Coturnix japonica: one gene and its partners. The protein of the gene in region 4 purifies or fractionates together with the protein of the main gene of each other region. This does not show direct contact. Links are inferred from orthologs where the notes say so. Each region holds a gene or a part of one and is shown on either strand. Other genes may lie near its edges.

Region 1 (7,300 bases), on a different chromosome or scaffold from region 4:
AGCAGTGAGCACCTTTTGATCATAGAACTGTGCCAGGGAAAGCCATAGAGAATCTCACACGACTTCTGCTCAAAGCAAGAGATAGCAGCTTTAGTTTTGCATGTTTTATTGCTGTGTAAATTGGAAAAGATGATTGTTCTGCTGGACAAAGTGGGATACATCATTGCTTGGGGCATTCATTTCTCTGAACTGATAGACTGAAAGTATTGTCCCTCTGGTCTGAGGAAAGAGCAGTGATGTTTGCTGCTGGTCCCTCCAGTTGGTGCTGGCAGGAGTGTTCATGTCACAGCCCAAACCTTCTTGTTTTGACAGATGCTATTCAAGCAGCCATTGAGCAGCTGGACCTGCTGGGGGCTGTGGAGCAAAAGGAAGATCAGCTTGTCCTGACTCCCCTGGGAAGGAAGATGGCGGCCTTCCCACTGGAACCAAAGTTCTCTAAAGTAAGAGCTGCAGAACAATTATCGGCTTTTACTTCACCTGCTTTTCCCAGCACCTTTCACATTTTTCTTTCAAGCTCCTAAAACAAGGTCTAGAATTCGGGGTGACTGCAGTTGTACCACTATATTGCAGCACATTAATGAAGCACAGCTTTCTTTACAGCAGCTGTGCTGGTTTGCCCATCATTTGTTCATTTAAAGGGGATGTTTAAAAGTTGCTTTATTTCCTCTGGCACATCTGAAGCTGAAACCAGGTTGATTCTCCTGCCATTTCTGGGACTGTCTGTAGCACGATTTGACAGTTTTGGGATGTATTTGATACAGGAATGGAGTTTGGGCACCATATTTGTGTTGTATCTGAAGTGAATCCTCTTAAAGGTGCTCAGTAGTTCTATAGGAGGACTTACAGTTGTCCTTAAGCCCAAATGTGTATGAAATTGACTTAATCAGCACCTGGTGAAGTTGCACAGGGAGCCCTTCCCCCCTGGACTGTATTTGCTCAACCAGAAATCCATTTTCTTCTTTACAGACCATCCTCCTGTCCCCAAAGTTCCATTGCACAGAAGAGATTCTGACCATTGTATCGCTGCTCTCAGTGGACAGTGTCCTTTACAACCCCCCAGCCCGGCGGGATGAAGTGCAATCTGTCAGGAAGAAATTTATCTCCAGTGAGGGGGATCACCTCACCCTGCTCAATGTGTACAGAGCCTTCAAAAACGTCAGTGGCAACAAGGTGGGATGCTCTGAGGATTCCAGGAATCCTTCTGACTCACAGCAGGGGCGGCTGCATCCTTTGCAGTTGGTGCATCCTGCATCCTACCAAAGCACCTGTGAGAACAGAGATCTTGCTCCTGCTTTACAGAGGGGTAACAGAGAAAGCTGTTGCAGTGCCAGAGGTTTCCCCAGAAGGTGCTGGCAGACCCAGTCACCAAAGTTGTGTGAGACCAGCTCTGGAATCAGAGCCACGTCTCTTCCCTGCCTGGCTGCAGCTGGAAATGCAGCAGTGAGAGGGTGCTGGGACTTGATGCTAAATATCTGCACGTGTCCCATTCAGGAGCATGTTTAAAACCAGACTTTACTTATGCTTCTCTATGGATTCCTTCAGTTGATTTATAGAGTAGCGTATCCCATTCTCTGCAACATTTGTTCCTCTCATGTAACTTGCTTTTGCCACCTGTGGGACATCAAGGACTGTTGTGCAGCTGGCAGTGACCTTCAGAGCAGCTCAGAGTGGGAGGAGAACAGCAGGTGGTTTGTTGGTGGGAGGGAGGAGAGGGGGAGTAATGAGGGGTAGCAGAGTGTGTTTGGAGGATGCTCCTTTGCCTGGCATCCAGCTGTGCTTCCTGAAGGAGCAGCCCCTTGTAACTGCTGGTATCTGTGCTGCAGGAATGGTGCAAGGAGAACTTTGTCAACGGCAGGAACATGATGCTCGTGTCAGACGTGAGAGCTCAGCTCAGGGACATTTGTGTAAAGGTAATGAGTTGTCGTACTGCATTTCTCTATTTCTTCTGTTTCTCCCCTCATTTATTTCCTTTGCAAGAAATCAAGGAGCAAGAAAATGTGTTATCCAGGCCAGCTGCATTTAGGACATAACCTTGCCTGCTCTCAGCAGCCCATTGCAGGGGGCTGTTCCCCCACTGGTGTGCACACACTTGTTCTTCAGCATGAGAACACTGTGGGAACAGCTGCCCACCTTCAGACAAGCGCAGGTTGATACAATTGGAACAAATAACAAATGGCAGTGAGTGTTGTGTTGCATTGCAGTGATGCAGAGATGCAGACACCTGCTGCTGTGGCCTCCAGCTCATCCAGGCCCCTGATGATGGAGGGTGTGTAGGATGGGCTCAGTGCCATTGGAGCTTTAGGAGTGTGCCGGGTTTCCCTGCAGGGCATGGATCCAACCCAGGCACAGCCCGTCTCTGCCTTCACACAAGCAGGAGGGATTCTTAGAGCCTGCAAGTGGAGCTGGGGCAGTGCTTCAGTGCTGTAGGGCTTATGGTCCCTGTCTTATGGATTGAGGCTGTCAAAGGGAGTGCAGGGAAGTGCTCTGTGCTTCCTGGCTCAGCTGTGCTCGCAGTGTTAGATGTGTTGGGATGCCCGTGTCTGTGCTGCACGCTGTGACCTGCTGCCTCGTGTCTGTGTCCCTGCAGTTATCGCTGCCCATGGAGTCGTCCCGCTCCGACACCTCCAACATCCGCCGCTGTTTGGCTCACAGCCTCTTCATGAACGCGGCCGAGCTGCAGCCGGACGGCACCTACAGCACCGTCAGCTCCCACCAGCCCGTGGCCATCCACCCCTCGTCCGTGCTGTTCCACTGCAAACCCTGCTGCGTGGTTTACAACGGGCTGCTGCACACCAACAAGTGCTACATGCGGGACCTGTGCGTGGTGGACGCGGACTGGTTGTATGATGCAGCACCTGACTATTTCCGCAGGAAACTCAGAGCAGCCAAGAACTGAGTGGGGCTGCAGGGCTCAATACAGGGCTCAGTGCAGGGCTCAGTGCAGGGCTCAATGCAGGGCTCGGTGCAGGGCTCAATGCAGGGCTCAGTGCAGGGCTCAGTGCAGGGCTGGGCTGTGATCTGTGCAGGGACAGCGGGGTTTTGCATCGCAAACAGGTGTAAAACTGGGAGGAAAATGGCTTCTCTGTGAGAGGCAGCACTCATGGCAACCTGTGGCTTTGAACCATCGTGGTGTTAAGAGCTGCTGTGTAAAACGGGACCTGCTTTGTGCTGGTGTTTAACATTGAGCTGTAATGGATGGGGCTGGAAGGAAACGAGCCCAGCAGCTCCTGCAGCAAACTCTCTATTTGTTGATGGTTCAGTTTGTGTTCCGGGCAGGTTTTACCGATGGAAAATAAAGACAAATAAATAAATTTCTACATACAAGGAGCAAAATCAAAGTGCTGTTTCACTGTCAGAATGGAGGTGCCTCATCTGTCCGCTCGGAGCGCTGCTCAGCGCGGCTCCCCCCGCCCGGCTCCTCCTTTGGAACCTTCTGGTCTCTCCCCCAAGGTCACTCCGCGTTGTATCTCGTTCCCTCCCCTTATTACCGGGGGCGGAGCTCCGGAAGCGCCCCGATCCCGTCCGGGTCATTCTCCTCCTCCTCGTCCCGTTTCTCGCCATGCTGCTCGCTCGAGCCCTTCGTTCCGCCGCCTCGTTCCGCCCCGCTCTGTCCCCGCTCCGCTCGCTCTGGTCCGTCCCGCAGCCGCTCCCGGCTCGTTCCCTGTGGCAGCGGAGCGATGTTGTTGTTGGCTGGAGGGCGGCGCTGCTCAGACCGCGCCGGGGAACTGCGGGCGGCGTGTCCTGCGGCTGCGGCGGGCTGCACACGGAGGGTGAGTCGGGACGGAGCCGCACGTGGTGATGGAGGTGGGGGTGGATGCGGGGGGTGGTGCCGGTGCTGAGCGGTTTCTCTCTCCCCGCAGGGGACAAAGCGTTCGCTCAGTTCCTGACGGATGAGATCCAGGAGGAGCGGAAGATCCAGAAGCACAAAGCGCTGCCCAAAGTGTCGGGCGGGTGGGAGCTGGAGGTGCACGGCACCGAGGCGAGGCTGGTGCGCAAAGTCGCCGGGGAAAAGTGAGCAATGAAATAACGAACGGGAGCGATGCGAGCGGGGCCTTCCCGGCTGTGATGGTTTAACTCGTGTCCTTTGTGCAGGATCACGGTTACCTTCAACATCAACAACAGCATCCCGCCCGCTGTGGATGAGGACGCGCCGGAGGAGCAGAAACACGAGGAGCAGGAGGAGGTGAGCACAGCACAGAGCCAGGGGACCACAAAGGGCCGCCGTGTGCTCAGTCTGATTTTGGGAGTGGGAACACACAGAGCAGGACGGCCCTGGGAGACCCCCATGGACCATCCCACCCCCTGCTGAGCACTGCGGGCACCTCGTGGCTGTGCTGGCTCCTGCTCAGCCCTCAGCACTGATCGGCTGCTTCTCTCCTTCAGCCCGATATCACATCGACTCCAAACTTTGTTGTGGAAGTCATTAAGGATGATACAAAGCAGACCCTCGTGCTTGACTGCCATTACCCCGAGGATGAGGTGAGCTGTGCTCTGGGTTCCTGTGTCTGCACAAAATGCTGCCTCCTTCTTTTCTCCTCACACAGGTTTTATCTCTGTAAGGAAACTGATGGGATGGGTTTCTTTCTGCTCATGTCCTGACCTTCTGATCAGCTCAATGTGTGGCATTAAGGGGGTTGTGTTCCCACCTGCAGGATGAAGCAGCTGATGGTTCCCTCTAATTACAGCTAATACATCCTGTGCCTCATTTCCTATTTCAGGTTGGCCACGAGGGAGAGGAAGAAAGTGACATCTTCACCATTAGGGAGGTCAGCTTCCAGCCCACCGGGGAATCAGATTGGAAGGACACCAACTACACCCTCAATACGGATTCCCTCGACTGGGTAAGTGCTGCTGATTTACATTGTACTCCTATTCCATCATGAATCATTTGCTCACCCTGTTGGAGGTGATATGGCAGCTATTGGCACCAAGCAGGAGCACCAGCTCTATGAGGAACAAGGGGGGAGCCCACAAGCCTAATTGTATTGCAGTAGTTAAGTAGGATTTGAAGCTGTGCTCTGCTAAGGCTGTTTTCTGTTCCTTGTTGCAGGCTCTGTATGATCACTTAATGGATTTCCTGGCTGACCGAGGAGTGGATAACACGTTTGCTGATGAGTTAATTGAGCTCAGCACTGCGCTGGAGCATCAGGAGTACATTAAATTCCTTGAAGACCTTAAAAGCTTTGTTAAATGTCAGTAGGGAAGGAAAGCAGCGTTCAGTGTGGGCATTACACAGCAGTGCTCCACCAGCAGAACCACAACGTATCTTCACAACAGAGATGGAGTAACTGAATTGGGAATTGAGCATCACGGGACAGTGAGGGGCCTCACTTGTATTTATGCTACGTTGCAGCCCAGCTCAGGTTCTCAAACAGGACTGTCTGGACCTGCCTCCCCCTGCTGCATTTTGTACCATTAGGAATGAAGGTGAATAATAAAATGTGTTCAAAACTCCCTGAAAAGTAGTTGTTTTTTTCTTCATGTTGATCAGTTGCCATAAGGGATATCTGTGTGTTCCCTGACCTGAGAAGTTAATGCAGCTGCCTGCAGAGCTGGGCAGTGTTAGGCCAGTTTTTCTCCAGGGCTATTCTAGCCCAATCTAGTCCATCTGTACCTGTTAGTATCAACGCATCTGCTCTAGAAAAATACTGCAGACAAGTTGGAGCTCTTTCCTTGCAGTAATTCAAGTCCTGTGGATGCTGAACATCAGCAGCATTGCAGAGCAGCAGATTTGGGCTTCTACTCAACCTGCTGCGTCCAGGTGATGCCTCAAGGTCTGAGTCAGCCCCAGTGGCAGAGCAGGAGATGCTCCCGCACCATGCAGCCATGCATTAAAGAGCTGCCTCTTATTTCAGCTTGAAGGCAGCCAAGGACAGAACAACGAGAAGAGGCAGAATACTTTGTGACTATTGATCAACCTCCCTGTTGATTCCAGGGCAATACTTAATAGTCCTGAGTGTAGTGGGTAAGATTGTAAGGAGGAACCTGCTTTTAGAACAGAAGGATACATTAAAAACACTGTCATGGACCTGAAGTTAAACACGAAGTCCAAAGCAAGCTGTGAAATCACTGACACGTTGTTGAAGATGATATGAAGGATGAAGTATTTATTATAAAAACATGGACTGTGCCATCAAAAGTGCAGGGTAAGGCAGTAGCGTTGCCTTGGAGTATGTATGACACAGGACACATAAGTGTATGGACATTAGAAGACAGTAGCAGCTCTGGGTTGAGTTCTAGTCTCAAAGTCACTGAAGAAAAAAGCAGCAGCTGAAGCAACTTAGAGGAGAATCATCCAGAAGTCACAGACCTTAAAAAGGAAACCTTAAGTTGAGCTGACAAGTTGTAGTAACGCATAAAAGATAGATAATAGTACAGTGAAATTCAGCTGTTTCAATACTGGTGGTCAAAATTAAACCACTTCCAAAAGGGTGTGAGGGAGAGACAGGAATGTAAACCCATGGGATTGGTGGAATTGTGGCTTCTGTCCATGTAACAGGGGTGGATTCAAGCAGGAATCTGACTCACTGGACAGGTCATGAGCAGACTGGCCTCCTCCTCCATCCCATTGGTAAATGTGAACTCTGGATTGTGAAGGCACCTGTGACTGTGCTCTGTTATAGTGTTCTCTAGGAGTGACCGAAGCTTCTCTTCTGTCATATCCTGGAGGGAAAAATAAGGGGGTTAAGAAGAAATCTTACTCATAAGATCGACCTCACCATGTATCGCTCACAGCTCACCTGGGCAGGGACATCCAACCCACACTGGCAGAAAACTGAGTGGCTCCTCACAGTCAGATGGTTCCTAGGAAAGACACACAGTGAGAGCCCTGACAACGAGAGCTCTGCTCTTCCAGCTGCTTGAAATCCACTCTCTTTGTTTGCTGTTTTGCCCAGTTCTAAACCCAAACTGCTGCAGTGTGGAGGATCTCATTCTTACTTTCTGCACACTGGGCAGATGATTCTGTTGCTGGCATCCAAGCCATCGAGGATTGCATTGAGGCATTCTTCATCAAACCGCAGACTTCGCTCGTACTCTTCTATAACCAATTGTTCTGGGGGCGGGGGGGCAAAAAAAGACCAACAAAAACCAAAACAGAACAGCAACAAAACAGACACCTGTTAACGACTTCAATGCTGATACACATGGAGCTGCTGTGGGGATGCAGGTTGGGGCAGCCCCTTATTGCTGAGATTCTTATTTCCAATCAGATTTCTGTGCTTAAGAAAATCATCACTATTAACCCGCTTCTTCCTACAGCCTTCATGCAGCCTCAGGGGGGTGACTGTAAGTCTTCCCA
Region 2 (7,344 bases), on a different chromosome or scaffold from region 4:
TCCTTGATGCTATGGGACTCCAGCGTGCCCAGCACTGCAGACAGACAATAGCTTTGATCATAATCTAGAGCTGGTACTCTGTGCTCAGGCAGAGGGCGGTCTTGCTACAGTCCTGTTATTGCTGAATATTTTTTTGTATTCATTTTTTTTTTGTGGTTGAATGAGGAGGAGATGTAAAACTTTTGTCGTCTTGTTGTGCTTGCTGTGACAGAAGTTGTTATTTCATAATTAAATCACATGTATGCATTATTTTCCAGGAGCCCATCCTGAATATTCATGATCTCACTCAGATCCATTCAGACATGAACCTCCCAGTGCCTGACCCAATTCTTCTCACAAACAGCCATGATGGACTGGATGGGGTAAGTTTACTCTCTTGGTCGAGCTCTCTGCTTCTGGTAATTAAAACTGCATGGCCTGTTCTGTGTTGGATTAGGATATTCTTAGTTAACAACAGCCTCCCAAAGGCTTTCAGGAATTGGTCTCCCGATCTTGGGAAGTCTGCTGGAGGGTAATGCTGTCCTTCACAGTGGTCCTTTGTTTTTAAAGACGGATGGTTAGAAACCAGGAGAGTAGCAGAGGCTCTGATGTTATCCTTACTTCCTCTGCAACAGTTTTATAGCTTGCGACTAGTTTGTGAGTAAAACATTTTGTATATTTTAGCCAAATATGAAAAAGAGGAAGCTGGAAGACCGTGAAGAGACCTTTCAGGGTAAGAGTCCCCGAGTCTCTTTGTTGCTGCCTGCCCCTTGAACCGTGCCTTAAGAGAATGAGTTGACTTCAGTCCCGCTTGCCCTGTCCTGACAGCATCTGCTGCTTACGCAGACCTGTCCCTGCAGCCTCAGAGCCTGACCTACAGATATTCTCTTGTGGAGGAGTCAGGTTCCAGCTCTTGGAAGTAGCAGGATTTGGATTTCTCTGATCGACATAAGTAGTAGTTGCTTAGGCTTAGCCTGCTGACAGGAGCAGCTGGCCTCCCTGTGGATCAGTTCTAAAAGCTTTTTACATCTGGAGGAAGACCTCAAGCTTTGGATTAAGCTGAGGCAGAATCATTTCTTACACGTGTGTCAGGAAAATCCTTGTACCTAGGCTCAGCAGGCTGGAGCTCTCCAGTTCTCATCTAAGCTCTGTATTTTCTGTCTTCTTTCCTCTGTGGCAATCATGGCTATCCCATGCCCAATTTCCCCCTTCCTCACAGGTTAGCTGTATCCTGGCTCAGTGTCCACTGCTAGCCTTTGTAGGAGACATAATGCTCAGGTGGACATTTGGTCTGATCTTCTGGTGTACCTGTTCCCACGTGGGGCTGATGTATTTGTCTTCTTTGCCACTGTAGGTACCAAAGTATTTGTGATGCCCAATGGGATGCTGAAGAGCAACCAGCAGCTGGTGGACATCATTGAGAAAGTGAAACCAGAGATCAGGCTGCTTATCGAGAAGTGTAATACGGTGGGTGTGGGCCACAGCCCTGAGTTCTGGAGCAGATGGGGGCACTAGAATACTTTTGCTCCTTTGCTTGTGTGAAGGTTCTCTGAGAAAAGGAGCAGGTTCCTCTGTATTTTATAAATGACAGTGGTATGAATCCTGTAAAAATCTTGACAGTGATCTATATAGTGATCTTTCTATTGCAGGTCAAAATGTGGGTGCAACTTCTAATTCCCAGGATAGAAGATGGAAACAACTTTGGTGTTTCTATTCAGGTAAGATATTGTTGGCTATGTTGTGGTCTTGTATTATAGTGTGTTATCTTGCATTTTGATATCTGATGTAGTAAATTAGTTTGTTTCTCATCAGACTGTTGCTGTTTTCTTTTAAGGCCCATCTCTCTACCCTTCTCCCCTTTTTTCCCTTTTCCCTTTCCCAGGGTGTGGGTCTGTGTGTACTGCTGCCCTGCTAGTTACGGAACCGGGCTGAACCAGCCTGTAAACCACTGACAGGCTGTATGCCCTACTGTGGCAGGGAACTATGCCCCCAAGAGCATGTACCTTTAGGTTTCTTCCAAATCATTTGATGGTATCCAATGTCTGCAGTGGTGGAGTTGGTTTAGGTTTTAAGATCCAAATCTAAGCTTGACATGGAACTGCTACGACCTGGTACTTCTAGAGCGGCGATGGGCAGTTTCAGTATCATGAAAAGGCTTCCTTTGCAGGAGGAAACAGTTGCTGAACTTCGAACTGTGGAGAGTGAGGCAGCATCCTATCTGGACCAGATTTCTAGGTATGAAGGAACAGAGCCCTTTCTGGGAGTGCTGCTGGGAAAAGGAACCTTTTGGGGAAGGTCCTCCAGCTTTGCTGGGGCAGATTGTGCCTGGAAGAATCTTGGTACTGTTTGTCTGATTTGTAGTCTCCATTTTCCTAACAGATATTATATCACAAGAGCCAAGTTGGTTTCCAAAATAGCTAAATACCCTCATGTGGTAAGTAAATGGGGAAGTGGTGCTTTACAGTTTACATGCTGTTGCTTTCTGGGACTCTTCAGGCTACTTCATCACTGTCTTAATTTTGAGCTAGGGGCCCTGTGGGAAAAGGGGGGGCTATATAAGAATATGCAGAATATCTTCATTAGAGAAGAGGAAACTGAAAGGGGGGATTCCTTTGTAAAAGGTAGGACCTTCAGTTGATACCATGTATCAAGCACACCTGAGCTCAGGCCTCTTAGCCATGCATCTGTTTTCTGCAGGAGGACTACCGGCGCACAGTGACAGAGATTGATGAGAAGGAGTATATTAGTCTGCGCCTGATCATTTCAGAGCTGAGGAATCAATATGTAAGTGAAAAAACAGAGCTCTCACTGGCTCCCCACATAATAGAAAGAGTCCTTTTGATCCTTCTACTGCTCTCCTCTTTCCCTATGATTACAGCTAGTCCTGGAGAGAAGCCTATCTTTTCCCCAGTCTGCTTTGGCTCTAACAAGAGCTAAGTGTTTATTGGCTCCCCACCATCTCCCAGAGATGTGGATGTTTCCAACTTGAGTATTCATGGGAGCTGAGTGCAAAATATTCAGTACACTGCTCTAGGAGCGCTGCTGCAATCCTAAATTCTTCAGGCAGTACAGACCATTCTTTTGATGTCTTCTCTTTTTTGTATTGCACACATTAGCTTCTCTAAAGTGTTGCGGAAGAAAGCACTTATTTTAAGCAGAAATGTGATTGCAGGCAGGGGTTGAAAGTAGTACCAGGATGAGCTGTGAAACTGTTCAAGTCAGTGGTTGTGAAACCTGAATGCTAAGTGACATCCCCCCTTCATTTCTGAGTTGTGTTCTCCCTTTTTGCAGGTCACTTTGCATGACATGATCCTTAAAAACATTGAGAAGATCAAGAGGCCTCGGAGCAGCAATGCTGAGACCCTTTATTAAGTGTCAACGTTTGAACTTGAGAACTGTTCAGTCAACTAAAGACCGTCATTGCCTTGGTTTGTTACATGACTATCGAGATGGGAAACTGGCTGGAAATAGTTTTGCATTCTTAGTTAAAATCTAAAGAAATTATCACCTAGTTTTGTGATTGGTTTTATTCAGGTCTCAGGAGCTCTCCCTCCCTCTAGTATATCTGGTAAAGAAAAAGGCCTTGCTGCTTTGGGATGCCCTAGAGGCTACTGCAGAGTGAGAGCAGAGCGCCAGCCAGGCAGGAACATTCCTTCATGCCTTTCTTCCTACCTGAGTAGGAGCTACAGTAGAGATCAGGCCCTTGTCTTGTCCCATCTCTTGGCTGGAGACTTCTCTGTGGTCTCTGTGAATGGGGCAGACCATCTTCAGCTCAAGACTAAGCCTGGATGGTGGTGCAGTGGCTGAAAGCCAGCTCTCTTCACTGCTGGCTGCAGCTGAGCCCCTCTGCCTATGCTCTGCACTGACTTATTTGCAAAGACAGAGGATCCTGCCCCTTCTGGGTTGGTGGCCACAGCCACGTTGCAGTGCCACTGAGAGGCCTGTAATCGTTTTGTGGCTTTTTTGACTCAGTAGAGCGTGGCCCATCTGTCTCTGCCTTGGTTCTGAGCGGGTCAATGCAGAGCTGAAGGTTGTGCTTGTCACTAGGGCTGATTGCTGTACTGGCTGGTTGTGAGCGCATATGGCTTCTGCTCCAGTCTGCAAATTGACTAGAGCCACTTTCTTGGTTAAAACCAACTTCATGGGAGTCTTCATGCCTCCTTGGTATGAGCTGCTTTTGCCCAGGCTGAGAAAGGAGGAGCCAGAGGTGTGATGCTAAACTCCTGATAGCTTCCATGTGTGGTCAGACTGCAACCTGCTTTCTCCTGGCAGTGCTTCCTGCTGTCCAGGCGCAGCAGGCCAGCTGTGACAATAGTGCTTGGGGTGAGGATGGCCAATTCCTACCTGGTACCGTTGCAAACCTTGTATTCTTTCCCCTGCAAAAGAGCACCCTTGTGTGCCTATTGACTCCTCTAAGCTGCTGGAACATTTCATGGTCCATTACAAACCCCTTTGGAAATGATTGGTTGTGTTGCGTCAGTTTTTGTGTGTGGGAAGTGATCCCATAATGCTGCAGGCTCCAAATTTTTTATTTATAATATTTCTACTTAAGTCCCATATTCAGGGAATGTTAAATCATTTATTTCTGGAACCTCACTGTTTCCCAGGTCTTGTTGTTACACCCATATATTCTTATTGTGCAGTAGCCTTAATAGTTGTGTTAACTTCATTGTAACAACAGTGACAAATGGAATGAAATTTCTCTCCTTTTTTTTTTTTTTTAAAACTATTTTTTTTCTGCTTCCACCTCTAAGAGCCATGTTGTCTCTTGCTGGTTTCCTAGGGATTTCCCCAGAGTGTGGAGGGCCACCAGCCCTTGCTGTAGACTCTTCTGTTGTTGTTTGTAGTAAGTCAACTCTTAGTCTTCCCGCTAATAAATATTCTGTAACAAACCAACTGCGTTGTAGCTGCTGTCCTGGAGCAGCACTCCCCCTTGTGTTTCTTTGTATTGATTTATTTTAATTTGTTGAGCTCTCCTTGCCAGATGAAAGTATGTAAACTTTTACCATGTCAAGAAATTAAAATAAGGTACTTTGAATTCTTTTAAGACAGCCCCTTGTCTGTGATACTGAGCTCTGCAGTGTTGGTGTCTGTTCTCGGTCGTGCATTTCACACATCCAGTGGTTCCTTCCATTCGTTCTCCTCATTCTTTTTGACTTGATACTGCTATGTGTGTGCTGCTTTGTAGATTGTTTCTGTTCCTTCAGCATACTTTATATTAAGCACAAGGGCTTGAATTTGATGAGATCTGCCCTGTTCTTGCCTTTTGTGTTGTACTCAGGCCATCTTGGCTCACTCAGGTACAACTGATTTGCATGATGGTGTTCTAAGAGCTGCAACCCACTCCACGGCTGCTCTTGCATCTGTGCAGAGCAGATGTGTGCAGTGTCATAGGACATGCATCTGAATGTTGTACCTGACACGTGTATTCAGTGCATGGTCCATTACTCTCTTGATGTTACTGTGCATGCAGTACAAAGGGGACATGGGCTAAAGCATCCTCAGCGTTACCCAGAGGCGTGCTTTTGTTCTCATTCCTGTTCCTCAGCACATGTGGCATGCAGCCTGGGCTGCAGGGACCTGCTCAGCGGTGTTCAGCCAAGTGCCATTCATTCCCCAGCACCCTGTCTGGGAGCTGCTGGTGTCCAGCCTGTTCTGCTCTGTGACAGGGAGGCTGTGTCTCTTACAGCTTGGTTGCCACTAGGTGGGGGCTGTGATCCAGCCTGAGAAGTGCTGGGAGGCCGGGTGAGACCTGGCCAACCTGTCCTCAAAAGTCTTCAGCCACCAAGAAGAAGCACAAGCGGCAGCTGCTGCTCAGCTGCATTCTGCCTCCTGCTGGGCCATTGGCTGCGAGGTGCTTCCTGTGGAGTGGGAAAATACTGATGGTGCCCACACCTCTTGGTGAAGATGGGTAAGGAAATGACAGCACAGGTCCCTGGGGCTGAGGAGGCTGGAGCTATTGCTGGAAAGTCTGCTGTTGGCACTGCTCAGTGCTGTATGGCAGAAGGGGTCTACCTTGATATGGCCAGGAGAAAGGGAGCCCCCAGCAGCCCTACACAACAGTCCTGTGGAAGGATGGAGCGTCCAGGACTGCTGTGCTGACAGGTGTTGGTGAGGAGCATGTTTCATGCACAGGAGCAGGGGAGGGTTTATTGTCTGTGATCCTCACCCTTTGGCATGGTGGTTTCTGCTCTGCTTTCCCAGAGAAGTGTCAGCTATCAGGGCTCTAATTCACAGCTTCTTGGGACACCCCTGCTTGTGTTTGCAGAGGAGGTTAGAACTTTGGAAGAAGAAGAGCACAGCAGTTGTGTTCAGACAAAAACACTTGCCAGAAACGCAGCCAGCATGAGTAAGTGTCAAGCAATTTCCAGCAGTCTGTTTTACACAAGCTGAATGTGCACGTTGGGAGAGTGGGAGTTTTCTAGAGTTTGAAGTTCAGGTTGGGGTCTGCTTGAGGTGTACCCATGTCAGAAAGGCTGGCAAGAATTTTTATTGTGTGTTTGCATGTTTATACTCTTTACCAGCTGCTTGGCAGTCACTGACACAAAAGACGGCCTGTCTGTGCTTTGGTTTCTATAAATTCCAGGGACTATTTTTGCCAGCTCTACCTTTCTATGTGAGCAAAGCACAGCAAACTCCCAGCCACTGTGTTTTGTTTGGGAGATACTGGCACTTTCCTTGACATGTTGCACTGACAAGCAGTGCTTAAAAGCATCCGTGTAAGCCAAAATAAGCTGGTATGATGTGAATTCTCCATGATAGGTATGGAAGAGTCATGGGCTAATCAGACTGGGGAAATGTTGTGGGCAGAGTTTTGTGTACCGAGCAGCTCATGAACAAGTCATGCTGCTATTAGTGAGATGCGTCATCTTCAAAATTCTGGGCTGGCTTTAAGTTGCTTCAGGGTCCTTTTGGAGAAGACGCTGTTCCTGTGGTACATGTTATCCTTAAGGATCCCTGAACATGTATTATCACTTGCATGTTGACATTGGTTTCTCATCTCTTCAGGTTCAAATAATTGCTCTGCTTCCTGAAATGTCTGCTGCAGGATAGCAATGGATTTAGTCCTTGTATTTGTTCTGGAACGGAGCTCCCAGAAAGTACAGGCAGATTCTTGTTACAAACTGTAAAAGTCTTCAGCTTGAAAAGTACAGCAGAAATGGGTATCGTTAAGTAACATGATATTGAACATGACATCCATGGCATGTATCCTGTTGCAGGACAGAGGCAGCACAGGTTTACTCTGCAGACCCAAATGTGAATTTGTTCATCACGGGGACATCATTACAATTGGGGCTTCTTTTGTTGCATTCTATATACCCAACGTGCACAGAAGTGTTCCTACACTATATTTTCAGACATCTG
Region 3 (6,888 bases), on a different chromosome or scaffold from region 4:
ATAGTGTAGGTGAAGGTCCTCTGAGAGTCAGAAAATACCAACAACTTGTATAAAGCATTCCTCTTCACCACTTATACCTCGAAGTAAGAGCGTGGAAAAGTGCTGTCGTTTTAGGTAAGATTTCATAGTTGAATATTATATTTTTCAGTGGACGACAGATGAAGACTTAACTGAAGCGGTTCATTCATTAGGGGTAAATGATATTTTGGAGATAAAGTTTTTTGAAAACCGTGCTAATGGCCAATCTAAAGGGTAAGATCTCTTCTGCTTTTTCTGTAAGTCGACTGAAGTTTAGGAGGGTCTAAGTGGGGAAAGAGTTCCAATTATTCTGTCAGTATGTGAACTTATGGCCTCTGTTTATCAATATCCAACAATGATTGGGTATATTAATTCATGCTAATTAAATTCCAGGCATAAATTTTATGGGAATATTACTTCATACTTCTTAATGAGTTAAATTTTATTGGCATTTACACTGGAACAGGTTGTTGAAGGAGGCTGTGGATGCCCCATCCCTGGAGGCATTCAAGGCCAGGCTGGATGTGGCTCTGGGCAGCCTGGTCTGGGACCCTGCACATAGCAGGGGGTTGAAATGAGTTGATCATTGTGGTCTTTTTCAACCCAGGCCATTCTATGATTCTGTGATATATGTGAAGACTCTATTCCTAAGTTTCAGTTAGTGTTGTGGTGATGTATGTTGTTCATAATATAAATTTTTCCTATCCTATCCCTGTTATTGAATGATTTTAAATGCTTGTTTTTCCATTAACTGCTGAAAGCAAGCACTTGAGCTGGTTCCTTGCTGACAGTCTAATCTTCCTAACATAATTTTGTCTTCATCTCTCATCATTACTAATGAGAGTAGCCACGAGAACACATTGAATTCTTAATAACAACTTGGTTATAATAATCAATAGATAGCATATTGATGCTGTGTCAGAAAGCTACCTTTGTTACACTGCTGCATCTTGGACTTACATTGTGGTTTTTCATCTGTGTCCTAGAGTGAATTACTTTATCTATCTCTAAAAGAAAAGATCTCTAAGATTTGTGGAAGATTCTGTATTTTCTTTTCAAGCATTCTTTTGCTCACTGTGTTAAGTGTTTATTCATGAGGCATCAGGATATCCAGGAAACAAAAAAACTGCAGTGTAACTGTTTTTTTTTCTTCCTTTCAGGTTTGCCCTTGTGGGTGTGGGATCGGAAGCATCCTCCAAAAAGTTGATGGATTTGTTGCCTAAAAGAGAACTGCATGGGCAGAATCCTGTTGTGACTCCTTGTAATAAACAATTTCTGAGTCAGTTTGAAATGCAGTCAAGGAAAAGTAAGTCTCTCTCTTGTGCCATCTTGGAAAGATTGGAAGTTTATTCCGGAAGTTGTCCTGCAGTTCTTCTCTCAGTATCTGATAATTTCTGCACAGTTAAAGATTTCTATATAAGTATTAAGTGAATGAAGTTGCAGCTTTGTTTTAAAAAAATTAAGTAGAAGATCCCCTTAAAAACTGAAAACAAAACAGTTAATTCAATGTGTTTTTATGTCTGTGGTTTTAATAGGAGAAATTGCTGGAAGTGCTTATTATGCAGCTTTGTAAGACTCTTCTTAAGATTGGAGAAGTAGAGGTGCAGCATTTGTAGGCAGATTAGACTAACTTAATGGACTGAGTTTCTACACTTCCATTCTTGTGGTGTGGGGATACTGAAATGCTGCTGAATCTTAGCAAAGTGTTTTTTCCTTTGTGGTACTGGGGATCAAGGTGATGCTTTAGTGCTACATAAAACTTTAGAAGAATTGAAAAGCTTTAAACTATTTTGATTTACATAATGACATTTTTCCACTGCAGCCACACAGTCTGGCCAGATGTCTGGGGAAGGTAAAGCTGGTCCTCCAGGAGGAAGCTCAAGAGCAGCATTTCCACCTAGTAATAGAGGGCGAGGCCGTTTCCCAGGTGCCATTCCAGGTGGAGACAGATTCCCTGGACCAGCAGGGCCAGGAGGGCCACCACCACCGTTCCCAGGTAAAATACTGAATGTGGAGGGTTTCAGTTTAATTTTTATTTTCTTTTATTAATGCAGTATGCTTATTTGGGAATTACAAAAATTAAGGTCAGTAAGCAGGCACATAGAATTACCAAAAACTTGAAGTGGTTGGTTCTGTTTTCAGGTTAATGTTCTCTTTCAGTATAGATAACCAGTTATAAATATATCTAAGATACTGGACCCAAAAGTGGAGCTCTGCATGTGTTGTGCAAGATGTGAATTGTTCAGTGAAGGCTTTTTGTCTGAGGAAAAAAAAAAAAAAAAAAGGACAAGATCTTAATTATTTTTGTGACTCTTTTATTTCTTCATGTTTATTAACTTTTTATTTATTTATTTTTTTGTAGCTGGACAAACTCCCCCACGTCCACCCTTAGGCCCTCCTGGTCCACCAGGCCCACCAGGCCCCCCACCTCCTGGTCAGGTCCTCCCACCTCCTTTAGCTGGACCTCCTAATCGTGGTGACCGCCCACCACCACCAGTTCTGTTTCCAGGACAGCCTTTTGGTCAGCCTCCTCTTGGGCCACTTCCTCCAGGCCCTCCACCTCCAGTTCCAGGCTATGGGCCGCCACCGGGTCCGCCACCACCTCAGCAGGGTCCACCTCCACCTCCGGGTCCATTTCCCCCTCGTCCACCCGGCCCTCTCGGGCCACCCCTGACTCTCGCTCCTCCTCCACATCTCCCCGGGCCACCTCCAGGTGCTCCACCTCCTGCACCACATGTGAACCCAGCTTTCTTCCCCCCACCTGCCAATAGTGGCATACCTACTTCAGACAGCCGTGGCCCACCTCCAACAGATCCATATGGCCGACCTCCACCATATGACAGAGGTGACTATGGGCCACCTGGAAGGTGAGTATTTTTGGTGTTATATGCCGTATGGCAGACTTTATTCCTTGTAGGAAACACAGGATTTTTTAAAAACTTTTTAATGCAAATGTTAGAAAAAGTAAACAAGGGGGAAAAAGCAAAACAAAACAGCAAAGCTGGAGGGGATCCCTGCAATCATGAGATTTGCCCGTTCGCTTCTTAGTGAATGAACTCATAAGTGTGTTTGTAGCAGTAAGAAAACCTTAAAATGCATTGCTAGTAATCTTGCTTTCCCTTTTCGGCTTTGAACTGTTTGTGTACATTGTTCACAGTATCATCATTCTGTGTGTTCTACATGCTAACTTATATCACTTCCTGCCAGTAGCTTCTGGTTGTGCTGCTGTCATAACTTGAAATTCTCACTTGTCCCTTTGCCATCTTGCTTTGCAAGCTGTCATTGTAAAATGCTCTGGTGTTCTCTTTGAATATGTGCATGTGTTGAGGATGGTGCCACACCAAGCTCATGTCATTTTCATCTTCTAGCAGTTCGGCTTGTTCCTTTTTTCTTAAGGGTTCAATTAAAAGTTAGCTTTTGTCTCAAAAGCTGAGTGGGAATTTATTGCAAGACTTTTGTTTTGCTTTCCTGTTAAGCTACTTGTAATTTTGTACAGTCTTTCTGTGTTTGTAGCAGTGGCCTTTTCTGTAGTTAATCCAGTCTGGGTCGGGGTTTTTGAGTCCCTCTGACTTGACTAGTGAAGCGTTTCACATCTTGTTTGAAACAGCTTTTGCATTTGTGCTTTCAAGCATCTGTCATGCCGCTGTTGTCTTCATTTTCAACATACTTTCACCATTCCTTAGAACTTTTGGGGTCTAATTTTAAGAGAGATACCTTCTACGCAGTTACGTGTGAATTTTTCATTTGTGATTTTACTGATATTGTTGAGAGAGTCTTCTCTTGCCTAAAGTGTTTCCTGCAAAGGCACTTTGATTCTTCCTTTTACATGTGAGCACAAAGTTGAAAAAAACCCCAACAATTGTACATACTGTGTTCCTATAGAAGTTGTAGAAATTCAAGCATTTGGCTTAATTGCCTGAGATATAATAAGGTGCTTTGTGTTTTTTGATGGACAAAATCTAAGTTGTCTGCAGTTTACAGAATGGCTGGGGAGGGAAGGAATGGGGATAGGACAGAATAACTTCTGTCCACTATTTTCAATAAAAATGTTAAGACTATCATCCATAACTATTTAAATTGTCATTAATTATATATCATAGGCGTTTCACTGGAAATAACATGTCCATAAGAGAAAAATTACATATTCCATTCTATGGGAGGCACACGAAAAATAATACTCAAAACTCAGGGAGGTATGAATTTTTAGACATTTCCTCTTATGCTAAACTGGCTATAGGATCTTGTTCCACTTCTTGCACTTAAGAGGATAGTATTGCTTGTTATTCTGCGTTTTCTTTCTACCAGAGGAACTAACACTGTTTTAGAAATATCAAGCAGTGGGTCAATTTGACAGTCTCAGCTTTTGTCTCTAATGCATTTCTTCAGATATTCTATATGATTCAGAGACTGGCTAATAAAACACTGCAAAACTTGTGGGTAATTTTTTGTATGAGTAAATTTTGTTACTTTAGAATCAATGTATAGGATAGCTAATAGTCAGAGTTAAAAAGTATAGTGAGTGCAAGTATTCATTTTAATTGCTTCCTCCTTACTGTGATTGGGAGATGAAATTGGTGCACCTTGAACTTGACCAGAAACAAAACCTAGAATTAACTGTAAAATGTTGGTGTCATTCAGAAAATTGAGTGTTTTAATGATGACAGACTTTATTTGCTTTTTAAAAATTACAGCCCTCTGGTCTTAGTTAAGAATCTGGGAAACAGGATCATATAGTTCTATTTCCAAGACTGTCTTAAGGAGATTTCTAATTTTGCTGAAAGTTGCATTACCCGTGTATGTGTATCTCTGCATCCATTCAGCTGGTGTAATGTCTGCTTAGATACCTTGAAGGATTTTATGAAAATGTTAAATATTTGTAAAGCACGGTTTAAGTGCTGCTGAATCTTCAAACTAGATTGGTAGAACAAGAAAAACTACTCATTTAGCAGATGTGATAATTTTTTTTTTAACTTATTATTTTCAAGCTTTCAGGATTTTATACTGTAACATGGTCCTTAACACAAACCCAGATCCTGCTTTCTTTTCTGTTTGTCATTTTGCTTAAAGTTGCAAACTTGGATTGTTAAAATTGCAATGATATTCTGTTAAGGTTTTCTTAACCTTGTAAATACTAATTTTTCTTGCTTACAGAGAGATGGATGCTGCAAGGACACCTCTAAGTGAAGCAGAATTTGAAGAAATCATGAACAGAAATAGGGCAATCTCGAGCAGTGCCATTTCAAGAGCTGTATCAGATGCCAGTGCTGGTTAGTAAAACTTGCTTTCTATTCTGCCTAAGCAAAAAGAGTTTCTAGTTATTGTGTTAGGAAACCTGCAGCCTTCATGCCACTTCCTTCTAGAATGCTGAATTTAGGTACGACCTATGACTCTTTTTGTACTGTAACCCAGCTGACGTTTGGGAATGCCTTCTGAGTACTGATCTGGGCAGTGTTATAATGTTTAGTCCTCTAGTAAATGATTTGGGAGGCTATTGAAAGAAAGCATTCCGAATTGTATTATTATTACAGATAAAAACCTTTGTATTAATTGGCATAATTTTCTCGTGATTTTATATTGTTTTCAGGGGACTATGGAAGTGCTATAGAGACCCTGGTAACTGCAATTTCCTTAATTAAACAGTCCAAAGTATCTGCTGATGATCGTTGTAAAGTACTTATTAGCTCTCTTCAAGACTGCCTTCATGGAATCGAATCCAAGTCCTATGGTTCTGGATCCAGGTAAAACTTTCCTCTTCCATTTGCCCTTCTGTGAAAGGGAAGGTGTGGGGCAAGACAAGTGTACAGAGGAGGAGCTAAGTCATGTGAGAACCTTAGTGATTTGCTCAGCTGCACAAGAAGTTTGTGAGAGAAACAAATATAACTTTTGAGTCTAAATAATCTGTTAATTGACTCTTGTTTTTAAAGTGGATCCAGCTAGCTTTTTAACTTATTGTAGTTTGTGTTCTTTTCTATATGGTAGTATTGCAAAAAAATGAACTTCAGAATTGAATTATCTTCATCAATTCAGATGTCATATGTCTGGTATACTATATACAACATATAATTTTAATCACTATTTTCTATTGAAAATTAAGTCAGAGGTTATTTATTATCAGTTTCATTTTGCTTCATAGTAACTTTCTCCTCACCTGTCACACTTGGCAAGGGAAAGAGGATGGCCGGAATGATTTTTCCTCTTATTCCTTCTCATGCAGTCAAAAAACTGAGAATAGGTTTAAAATGCACAGTCTTCTACTTACTGATTATTTACAGCCCTTTCAGAGTTGCAACAGCCACTGAACCTCTAACTTCTGATTTATTTGGATATTGTAGGAGTAGAGTAGCTGATGCTGAGTAATAAAAACACAGGTAGCTAACCTTGGCCCACACTTTCAGAAAGCCAATGAGCAGCCATGTTGTAGGGATCATTTGAGGCACAGTACATTGTCCAGCTGATCTTAGCTGTCTTCCATTCTGAATGTGTAATTTCTGACTTCTCCCTGGTTTGAAAGTAGGTGGCATCTTAATATCTGTTAGCTGTTCTTAGCCACCACCCCAGCCATCTTCCATGTTATACAAAAAATGTCTCTGCACTGTGATGCAGAGCAATTTTTTTCATGTCTGAGGAGATATTTCTCTCATGTCTTTTTTTGGTCCAGTTCATACCAATCAACAGCATACAAAACTGGCGTGTGGGTGGCTTGTGTTTTGGGGAGGGAAAAAAATAAAAGTAATGAAGTAATTTTCTTTAGAAGACGTGAACGATCCAGGGAGAGGGACCACAGTAGGTCACGAGAAAAAAGTAGACGCCATAAATCACGTAGCAGAGATCGTCACGATGACTATTATCGGGAAAGAAGCCGAGAAAGAG
Region 4 (7,489 bases):
GCCAATGAAGAGCCAGATCCGAGCACCTTAAAAAGAAGACGTGGGTGTTCTATGCCCATTCCTGTGTACAGATACCAGTAACTTTCAAGATGCTTCAGTTCCAGAGCACTTTATGTGACCCACTTGAGCCATGCACATAAATCAGTGCATGCACTGGTGCAGCTGTTATAGCTCGTCCAAGGGTGACTGACTGCAGGTATTTGTGTGTGCACAGCACTCACCTGTTTGTCCCAGGCAGCCTTCGCTGTAACTGTCACCCCTCACTTGTCCATTAGAAACTGCGTTGATCCTGAACGTGCAAAACAGGATGAAAAAGGGTAAAGATTAATAAAGCAAGAAGGAAAATGTTTATAGAACAGTAAGGGAAATTCCTTAGGAACAAATTGAGACATAATGCATTTCTTACGTGTATTTTATTTTTTCAAAATGGGAAACATGCTAAAACTTAAACACGTTGCTCTGCTTTTCTTCCACTTTTAATGCTTTGATTTATATGCTACTCCATTTTCAATGGCTCCTTACCACAGGCAAATGTAAGGCACATGATCCTAGGCTGCATCACACAAAGCATGACCAGCAGCTCAAGGGAGGCGGTTCTCCCCCTCTGCTCTGCTCTCATGAGACCACAGTGCAGTGCAGCATTCAGCTCTGGGACCCCCACCATAAGAAGGGAAGAAGGTTTCAGTGTAGGAACAGGACAAAAGGTTTTAGGACAGAATAGGACAGAATGGTTTGAAGCTAAAAGGAGAGATTTGGATGAGATAATTAGGAAGAAATGTTATCACTTAGAGGGCAATGAGGCCATGGCACCCAGAGCTGTGGCTGCACAGTGCCAGTATCCAAGGCAAAACTGCATGGGGCCCTAAGCAGCCTGGTCAGAGCATCCCAGCTTATGGTGTGGGGGGGTTGGACTTGGTGATGATTAAAATCCCTTTAACCCAAACCATTTTGTGATATTAGCAACACTCAGACCCTGATTTGTTATTTTCACTTATCTCCCAATTTAAAGCCTACGTTATTTATTTTAATTCTGAATTTCACAGAAGTTCCAGGTGTGCACAGCTCTGATCAGGACATTACACTTACATTAGGAATGCAATGGTGGCTATAACCCCACAGGCATGATACGAATGGTTGAAGTCTTCCATGGTAGGGTACTTCACAGCTGCATCTATGATTATCCACCAACCTGTAAAAAACTATTAAAAGCAAAAGTACAATAGTTTAAAACACAGATAGAAAAGGTTTGACCAAACAAACCCAAACAAACAGCACAGCTGCCTCTACCATCAGCTTAGTCAGGTACATGCTAAACACAAACCCCATGATTTAGCTGCTCCAAGAATTGTAGGGGCTGGAAGGGACATCTAAGAGCCCTTTATCATCTCTGTGAACCTCTGATGGACTCTCTCCAGTAGATCCCTGCCTTTTTTTGTATTGGGGAGCCCAGAACTGGATACAGTACTGAAGGAGAGAGGGGTAGGATCACCTCCCTTGCCCTGCTGGCCACTCTTTTTAATGCACCCCAAGATGCCATTGGCCTTCTTGGCCACCAGGGCACACTGCTGGCTTATGGCCCACCAGGTCCTTCATTACAGAGCTCCTCCCCAGCAGGTCAACCACCAACCTGTATGGATGCATGTAGTTATTCCATTGCCCCCCAGGTGCAATAGTCATCACTTGCTCTTGTTAAACACCTCTCTGCCCAGCTCTTCAGCTTGTCCAAGTCTTACTGAAAGGCAGCACAGCCTTCAGGTGTGTCAGCCACCCCTCCCAGCTTAACATCATCAGCACTATCCCTTTAATAAAGTGAAACTGTTGAACAGGACCAGCCCCAGCACTGCCCCCTGCGAACACCAATACACTGAGCTCTGTCAGTCACATCCACCCCACACTCCCTATGGCTGCAGTGGGGTGGGCAGCACCAATTGCCTTCTGTGGGTGCTGTATAGAGCAGGGGGGGGGGATGCACAGAGCATAGAGGGGCTGGGGGGGGGGGGGGGGGGGAGGTCTATCTGTTCCTATAATGGCTTCATGGAGCCTCCTTTGAGCCCGTTTCCTCACACACCAGCGCTCCGGCTGCACAGAGCACAGAGGGGCTGGAGGTGTGGGGGTCTATCTGTCCCTATAATAGCTTAATGGAGCCTCCTTTGATCCTGTTTCCTCACACACCCGTTTCCTGCACAGAGCATAGAGGGGCTGGATGGGGATCTATCTGTCCCCATAACAGCTTAATGGAGCCTCCTTTGATCCCATTTCCTCACACACCAGCACTCTGGCTGCACAGAGGGGCTGGGTGGGTGTCTATCTGTCTCCATAACAGCTTAATGGAGCCTCCTTTGACGCCGTTTCCTCACACACCAGCACAGAGCACAGAGGGGCTGGGTGGGGGTCTATCTGTCCCTATAATGGCGAAATAGAGCCTCCTTATACCCCGTTTCCTCACACACCAGCACTCCAGCGGCCACAGACGCGATGGTGTTCCGCTTCTCCCCCCAGTCCACACACTCGGAACACCTCAGGCCCTCCAGGAAACCGGACATCTTTCAACGCTCTGAAGAAGGCGAGAAAACAAAATAAAACGAATCAAATCGCCACAACCGCGTTTCTCACACAGTAAATAACCCACCACAGCAATTATCGCTCTAAAAAGCCGCATTATATTGTCCTCACACAGAACACGGCCCGACCCGCCGCTCACCTCACGGCTCCACCGACGCGCTCAGTGCGCATGCGCAGCACGCAACAGCAGCTCCCCGCCTCCAGCGCGCAGGCGCGTAGAGGGCGGCGAATGGGTTCTTCTGCGCATGCGCTGTAGTACGGAAAGGGAGGGGGGAGTAGGGTGAGTGCAGGCAGTGCGCATGTGCACAAAGCCCGCGCATGCGCAGTCCGCTCCGTTACGTAAGCGGGGAGTGACGTTCTGGAAGGTTCGCGGCCGCTCTCAGTCCGCGCTCTGCTCGCGGTGGGGTCGGTTGTGTCCGCTCGTTGCTCCGGCGGTTCGGATCGCGGCGCGTTGTCTGGGCCCGGCCGTTCGTTATGGGTGTAACACACGAAGCCGGGTTGTCCCCTCGGGCGTCACCGTCGGAGCAGGATCCGTGTGGGGGGGGAGCGGCTGCGTGCAGCGGGTGAGGAGGAGCGGGGGGAGCGGTGCGGCCTAGGGCTGAGGGGGGAGATGGGCCGGGTGGGAGGTGGGGTGTATTGTATTGTATTGTTGGCTGTGGGCTGGTGCTGTGCTATGGCAGCACCTCATTTACCGCTGTGTTATTGCAGGAGCGCCATAGGGACCCATGGGAGTCAACAACGGGGATGTCCGGCGGCCCCCAGCGGTAAGCGGCCTCACCAGAAGCCCCCCTGGCCTCCGAGCTGGATGTGGGGGGGTGGAAGGGGTATATCTGGCCTCTGAGCTGTATGGAGGTGGGTGGGAGGGGTATATCTGACCTCTGAGCTGTATGTGGGGGGGTGGGAGGGGTATATCGGGTGTTCCCATGGGCTGTGCAGTGCCTGTGACCTTGGGTCTCTGCTTGGAGGTGATGGGTGGAACTTCCTGCAGCTGTTTGAGGAGCTTAATCAGCTCTTAGAGCTGGCTCGGTAGCTCTTATTGATAGTAAGCAGTGAGTCTGAGCTCAGTGGTTCAGCAGACAAGCCTTGAGAAGCAGAGTGTTAACACAGTACTTATAATATAGGACCACTGGGCAGAGAAGCTGTTTTGATGTGTTCCCTTAACGAATTTTACCCTATGATCCCGGATCTGTGTCTTATACTACACATGTAAGATTCTACTGGTGTAGTTTAGTGGCATAATTTAGTTGTGATCATTGGCCTATTATAAAGCTGTGGATGTAAAGCATGATGTCTATTCTGACCTTGAAAGTAGATGTTTGTTTTGCCCCTCCTGGTGCAGTAGTCTGCGCTTAAAACAGATGGGAACTTGAGTACCTTGAAAGCTTTGTTTGGGGTAAGGAAATAGCAGTAAATTTCATCTTCACAAAAGTTGTGTGAGGGGCATTAAAGCCAATGCAAACCTTTCAAAACTAGTGGCTTACACTAACGCATTCTTAAACTTTCATATAGAACCATAGAATGACCAAGGTTGGAAGAGACCTCTAAGATCATCCAGTCCAGCCGTCCTACCACCAGTATTTCCTCACTAAACAACGTTCTTCAGCACAAGATCTAAACATTTCTTCACCACTTCCTGAGCAGCCTGTCCCAGAGGTCTGACCACAGGACAGGAAATGATGCTGCTCATAATTGTCAGGCATAAAACATGCTCATAATTGTCAGGAAAGATTGTCAGCGTTGAATTGTCCTTGAACTTCTTGTTTGTGTGTTGTGCCATAATAATTGATGGTGTGTATGTCAATTGCTGTCTGTAAATGATTCGTGTCTTCATTTGCTTCTGTCTTCTTTACCCAGGAACAGAGACTGGATACTGCAGAACAACAAGCAAAACAGAACTGGGCTCTGAAAGTACCTGCAAGGAAGAAGTAGTGGCTCGTAAGAGCAGTGATATGGCAAACTGCATGGATGATTTGAGTCTGAATTCACCAAAGAAAAGAGAGAATTGTTTGAGATCCAAAAGAAGCTGCAGCAGGTCATCATCAAGGTCATCCAGTCGATCTTCCTGCAGCTCCCAGTCCAGTTCGAGTACGTCATCTTCAGCTTCCTCCAGGAGCTGGAGTCGGTCCAGATCCAGGTCTAGGGATCGAAGATACAGTTCCCGAAGGTACAGAAGATGCTCCCGTTCCTATTCAAGAAGCCGCTCAAGATCGCGTGGCTACAGGAGGTACAGAGGAAGGTACCACTCCAGGCACTACAGGAGGTACCACCGCTCTCCTCCGAGGTACAGATCACGCAGTAGGTCGTGGTCCCGTGGAAGATCATATTACAGAAGGTCCTATTCAAGAAGCAGGTCACGTTCCAGAGGCCGAAGAAACTATGGGTTTGGGCGGACAGTGTACCCTGAGACTTACAGGAGCTGGAGGAGCAGGTCACGAACCAGGTCTCGGAGTAGGTCACCTCTGCACTTGAGTGAGAAAGGTACTTGGACTTTGGGTGTGAGCATTGGAAACGGGTCTTTTATTGACTAGATAAATTGTAGTTACTTTATAGAGCCTATCTGATAAAAGGAGGTTGCAAAGAATCTTGCTACATCTATAAAAATATATTAAGAAGGGGGGTATAAACAGCAGTTGAGAGCATATCTTTGTATTTCAACTGAAGCTGTATCTCTCAAGTTGAGATGAAAATCCATCAGAGTTAATGTTTCAGTGCAGATGTGGTTTGGCTGCAGTTCTTAGGGTTGTATTGGAAGGATACGTATCTCATGTTAAAAATCAATTATGTCTTCTTTTAGAAAAGAGGGAGCTTCTGGAAATTGCAAAGGCTAATGCTGCAAAAGCTCTGGGAACAGACAATATAGTCTTGCCTGCTAGCTTGAAGATCCGCACTGCTTCTAAGGAGACCAGCAGTATTAAGAAAGAACATGAAGACTCTGGGGAGTCGGATGAGGTAAGTACGAACTGGAGTGTTGGGAATGAAAAGGTCAGCACATAAAGACTTGTGGTGTGCATGGATGTGCCACGATTCTTTTTTCCTTATTGAGGAGTTTGTTAATTAAAAGTTGAAACTCCTGAACAGAGAACTGAGGTTGACCAGAATGCTAAAAAGTGCTTTAGAAACCACTGTAGACTTTGCTTTTCACTGCAAGTACACTGGATTCTGAAGGGCAGTGGATTCAGGGCCGGGCTGGATGGGGTCCCAGTGGCAACCAGCCTGTGGCTGGGGTTGGAGCTGGATGATCTTTAAGGTCCCTTCCAACCCAAGCTGTGCTGTGGCTCTGCTGCATGCAGGCTTTCCTTGGTGTTACAACATTAGGAAGGGGAGAGAATTGTAGTTCTTGCAGCTTCTCAATGGTAGCATTGTATTGCTCATTACAGAAACTATTTTTTTCTTGATCTAAAACAAGGAGACTCCTTAGCAAACCTGTTATTTTTTTTCTTGTTAAGGTTAATTTTACTACCTTTTCTAACAGTTAAAAGCTTTTCATATGTAATATACTATTTCCCAGAAGTTACATACCCGAACACACAATGCATTTTACATGCTTTATTTCTGTCTTATAGAAATCATGACTATGGTTCCAGACATGATGAAGAAAATCTGTTGGTAATTAAGGGTCTTGTGGGCTGTAGCTACTGTGAATTTAAGGGAGGGAGAAACTTCAGCATCTTAAACTGAGCTGTAGTTTGGCTGTGTTAATGCTTTGTTAATCTGATTGATAGTAAATGCAAAACTGCAGTAACTTTACATCTATCCAATGCTGCTATTTCAAATGGAAGTAAATTTGCTAAAGGTTTTAGACAAATGGTACAGGCATCCCTTTCATAATATATGCAATATATTCCAGATGTTGAGAGAGTACAGAAGAAGAGGCCTGCATCACTTGCAGATAAGTTTATTGTTGTTATCCAAAGCTCTGCAGGATTAACGTGCAGAACTTCATGCGACTTATTCTGACACTACATTTCATTGTATGGCATTCCATGCTTTGAATCATTTGAATACTCTTTAAAACTGTAAGTGGGGCATGGATATCAGGTCATAGCAGGTCCTTGAATCGGCACAAGGACCTTGATTAAAAATACTGGTTTTCACATTGAACTCAATGCTGATCTATTGGCACATTTGGTAGCTTCTGGCTACTTTTGTTGTAAATATCTGAAACAACTGTACTGGGAAGTTATTAACTTGTAAAGGCTGCCTTAACCTACAGAGGGTGTTGTATCCTCCCACTGAAGTGCTGTGTGCTTTTCTCTAGCAACCCAAAGGACTGACAGAAGTCATAACCAAAAGTGGAATGGAGAGAGCAACCGCACGGAGCATCTCGTTCAGCCCTAATGTGAGTGTGCTTTCCGGAGATGGAAATCCCATAATTAATCCCTCTTGTATCAGTCTCCACAGCAATGATTGCCAAATCAAACATCTTAGCAATGGTAACGCTTGGAGGGCTTTGCAGTTCCTTTCCTGAAGGAGCTGGATCAGTTCTTCAGCAGTACAGTGCTGTTTTAATGTACTACAGTAGTGTTTAAATGCAGATGTTTCTGCACATAACGCTCAGTGCTGTGAGCTTTTTGTTTCTGGTATTTCATGCTGCAACTTGAAGTTGCGTCTTTGGTTGTGTTTGAGTAATGCAGGGGTGGGGTGGTTATTCAGCATTCTGGGTTAGTTAAGTGTCTTGTCAACACAAGCCTCTTAAAGTTGTTGGGTCTTTGTATGTCCTTTGTCTTTCCACTGGTTTAAAATGTAATTTCTTTTCCAGAATACAATGGCAAAGCCAGTACAACAGAAGCCAGCGAGCCATGTTGTTAAAGAACCATCCATTTCTCCAGGAAGAGAAGATGACAAAAAGGGAAGTCCCTATGGGCAGTGGGTTCCTGTCAAGAAGGAGGAGAAAAAGTTCCTAAACTTCTCACCCAAATCCACACTG

What was found.
Region 1: the proteins of RSRP1 (region 4) and C1QBP purify together in Homo sapiens (affinity purification with mass spectrometry; 3 studies listed by BioGRID and IntAct, counting the BioPlex papers as one, with this or other methods). This does not show direct contact. The link is inferred for Coturnix japonica from reciprocal best matches to the Homo sapiens genes RSRP1 and C1QBP.
Region 2: the proteins of RSRP1 (region 4) and PSME3 purify together in Homo sapiens (affinity purification with mass spectrometry; 3 studies listed by BioGRID and IntAct, counting the BioPlex papers as one, with this or other methods). This does not show direct contact. The link is inferred for Coturnix japonica from reciprocal best matches to the Homo sapiens genes RSRP1 and PSME3.
Region 3: the proteins of RSRP1 (region 4) and CPSF6 purify together in Homo sapiens (affinity purification with mass spectrometry; 3 studies listed by BioGRID and IntAct, with this or other methods). This does not show direct contact. The link is inferred for Coturnix japonica from reciprocal best matches to the Homo sapiens genes RSRP1 and CPSF6.

What each region holds. Positions count from the first base shown.
Region 1 is NC_029534.1:2,452,113-2,459,412, forward strand, and holds C1QBP (complement component 1 Q subcomponent-binding protein, mitochondrial), read left to right. Parts: upstream 1-3,511; 5' UTR 3,512-3,559; coding exon 3,560-3,770; intron 3,771-3,860; coding exon 3,861-4,011; intron 4,012-4,092; coding exon 4,093-4,183; intron 4,184-4,383; coding exon 4,384-4,479; intron 4,480-4,718; coding exon 4,719-4,841; intron 4,842-5,050; coding exon 5,051-5,200; 3' UTR 5,201-5,462; downstream 5,463-7,300. Other genes in the region: ATP-dependent RNA helicase DHX33, read left to right, coding at 313-440, 967-1,170, 1,824-1,910, 2,588-2,896; RPAIN (RPA-interacting protein), read right to left, coding at 6,281-6,310, 6,529-6,663, 6,741-6,804, 6,940-7,054.
Region 2 is NC_029542.1:4,665,480-4,672,823, forward strand, and holds the end of PSME3 (proteasome activator complex subunit 3), read left to right. Parts: intron 1-257; coding exon 258-362; intron 363-663; coding exon 664-712; intron 713-1,333; coding exon 1,334-1,446; intron 1,447-1,628; coding exon 1,629-1,697; intron 1,698-2,146; coding exon 2,147-2,214; intron 2,215-2,358; coding exon 2,359-2,413; intron 2,414-2,676; coding exon 2,677-2,763; intron 2,764-3,270; coding exon 3,271-3,351; 3' UTR 3,352-5,026; downstream 5,027-7,344. UniProt on the Homo sapiens protein: Subunit of the 11S REG-gamma (also called PA28-gamma) proteasome regulator, a doughnut-shaped homoheptamer which associates with the proteasome. 11S REG-gamma activates the trypsin-like catalytic subunit of the proteasome but inhibits the chymotrypsin-like and postglutamyl-preferring (PGPH) subunits.
Region 3 is NC_029516.1:32,113,141-32,120,028, forward strand, and holds part of CPSF6 (cleavage and polyadenylation specificity factor subunit 6), read left to right. Parts: intron 1-148; coding exon 149-252; intron 253-1,178; coding exon 1,179-1,324; intron 1,325-1,840; coding exon 1,841-2,014; intron 2,015-2,380; coding exon 2,381-2,885; intron 2,886-4,118; coding exon 4,119-4,211; intron 4,212-5,169; coding exon 5,170-5,285; intron 5,286-5,602; coding exon 5,603-5,756; intron 5,757-6,769; coding exon 6,770-6,888. UniProt on the Homo sapiens protein: Component of the cleavage factor Im (CFIm) complex that functions as an activator of the pre-mRNA 3'-end cleavage and polyadenylation processing required for the maturation of pre-mRNA into functional mRNAs.
Region 4 is NC_029538.1:2,151,858-2,159,346, forward strand, and holds the start of RSRP1 (arginine/serine-rich protein 1), read left to right. Parts: upstream 1-2,886; 5' UTR 2,887-3,036; coding exon 3,037-3,125; intron 3,126-3,270; coding exon 3,271-3,326; intron 3,327-4,416; coding exon 4,417-5,040; intron 5,041-5,356; coding exon 5,357-5,511; intron 5,512-6,409; exon of another isoform or gene 6,410-6,820; coding exon 6,821-6,901; intron 6,902-7,321; coding exon 7,322-7,489. Other genes in the region: TMEM50A (transmembrane protein 50A), read right to left, coding at 1-26, 222-289, 1,087-1,199, 2,451-2,543.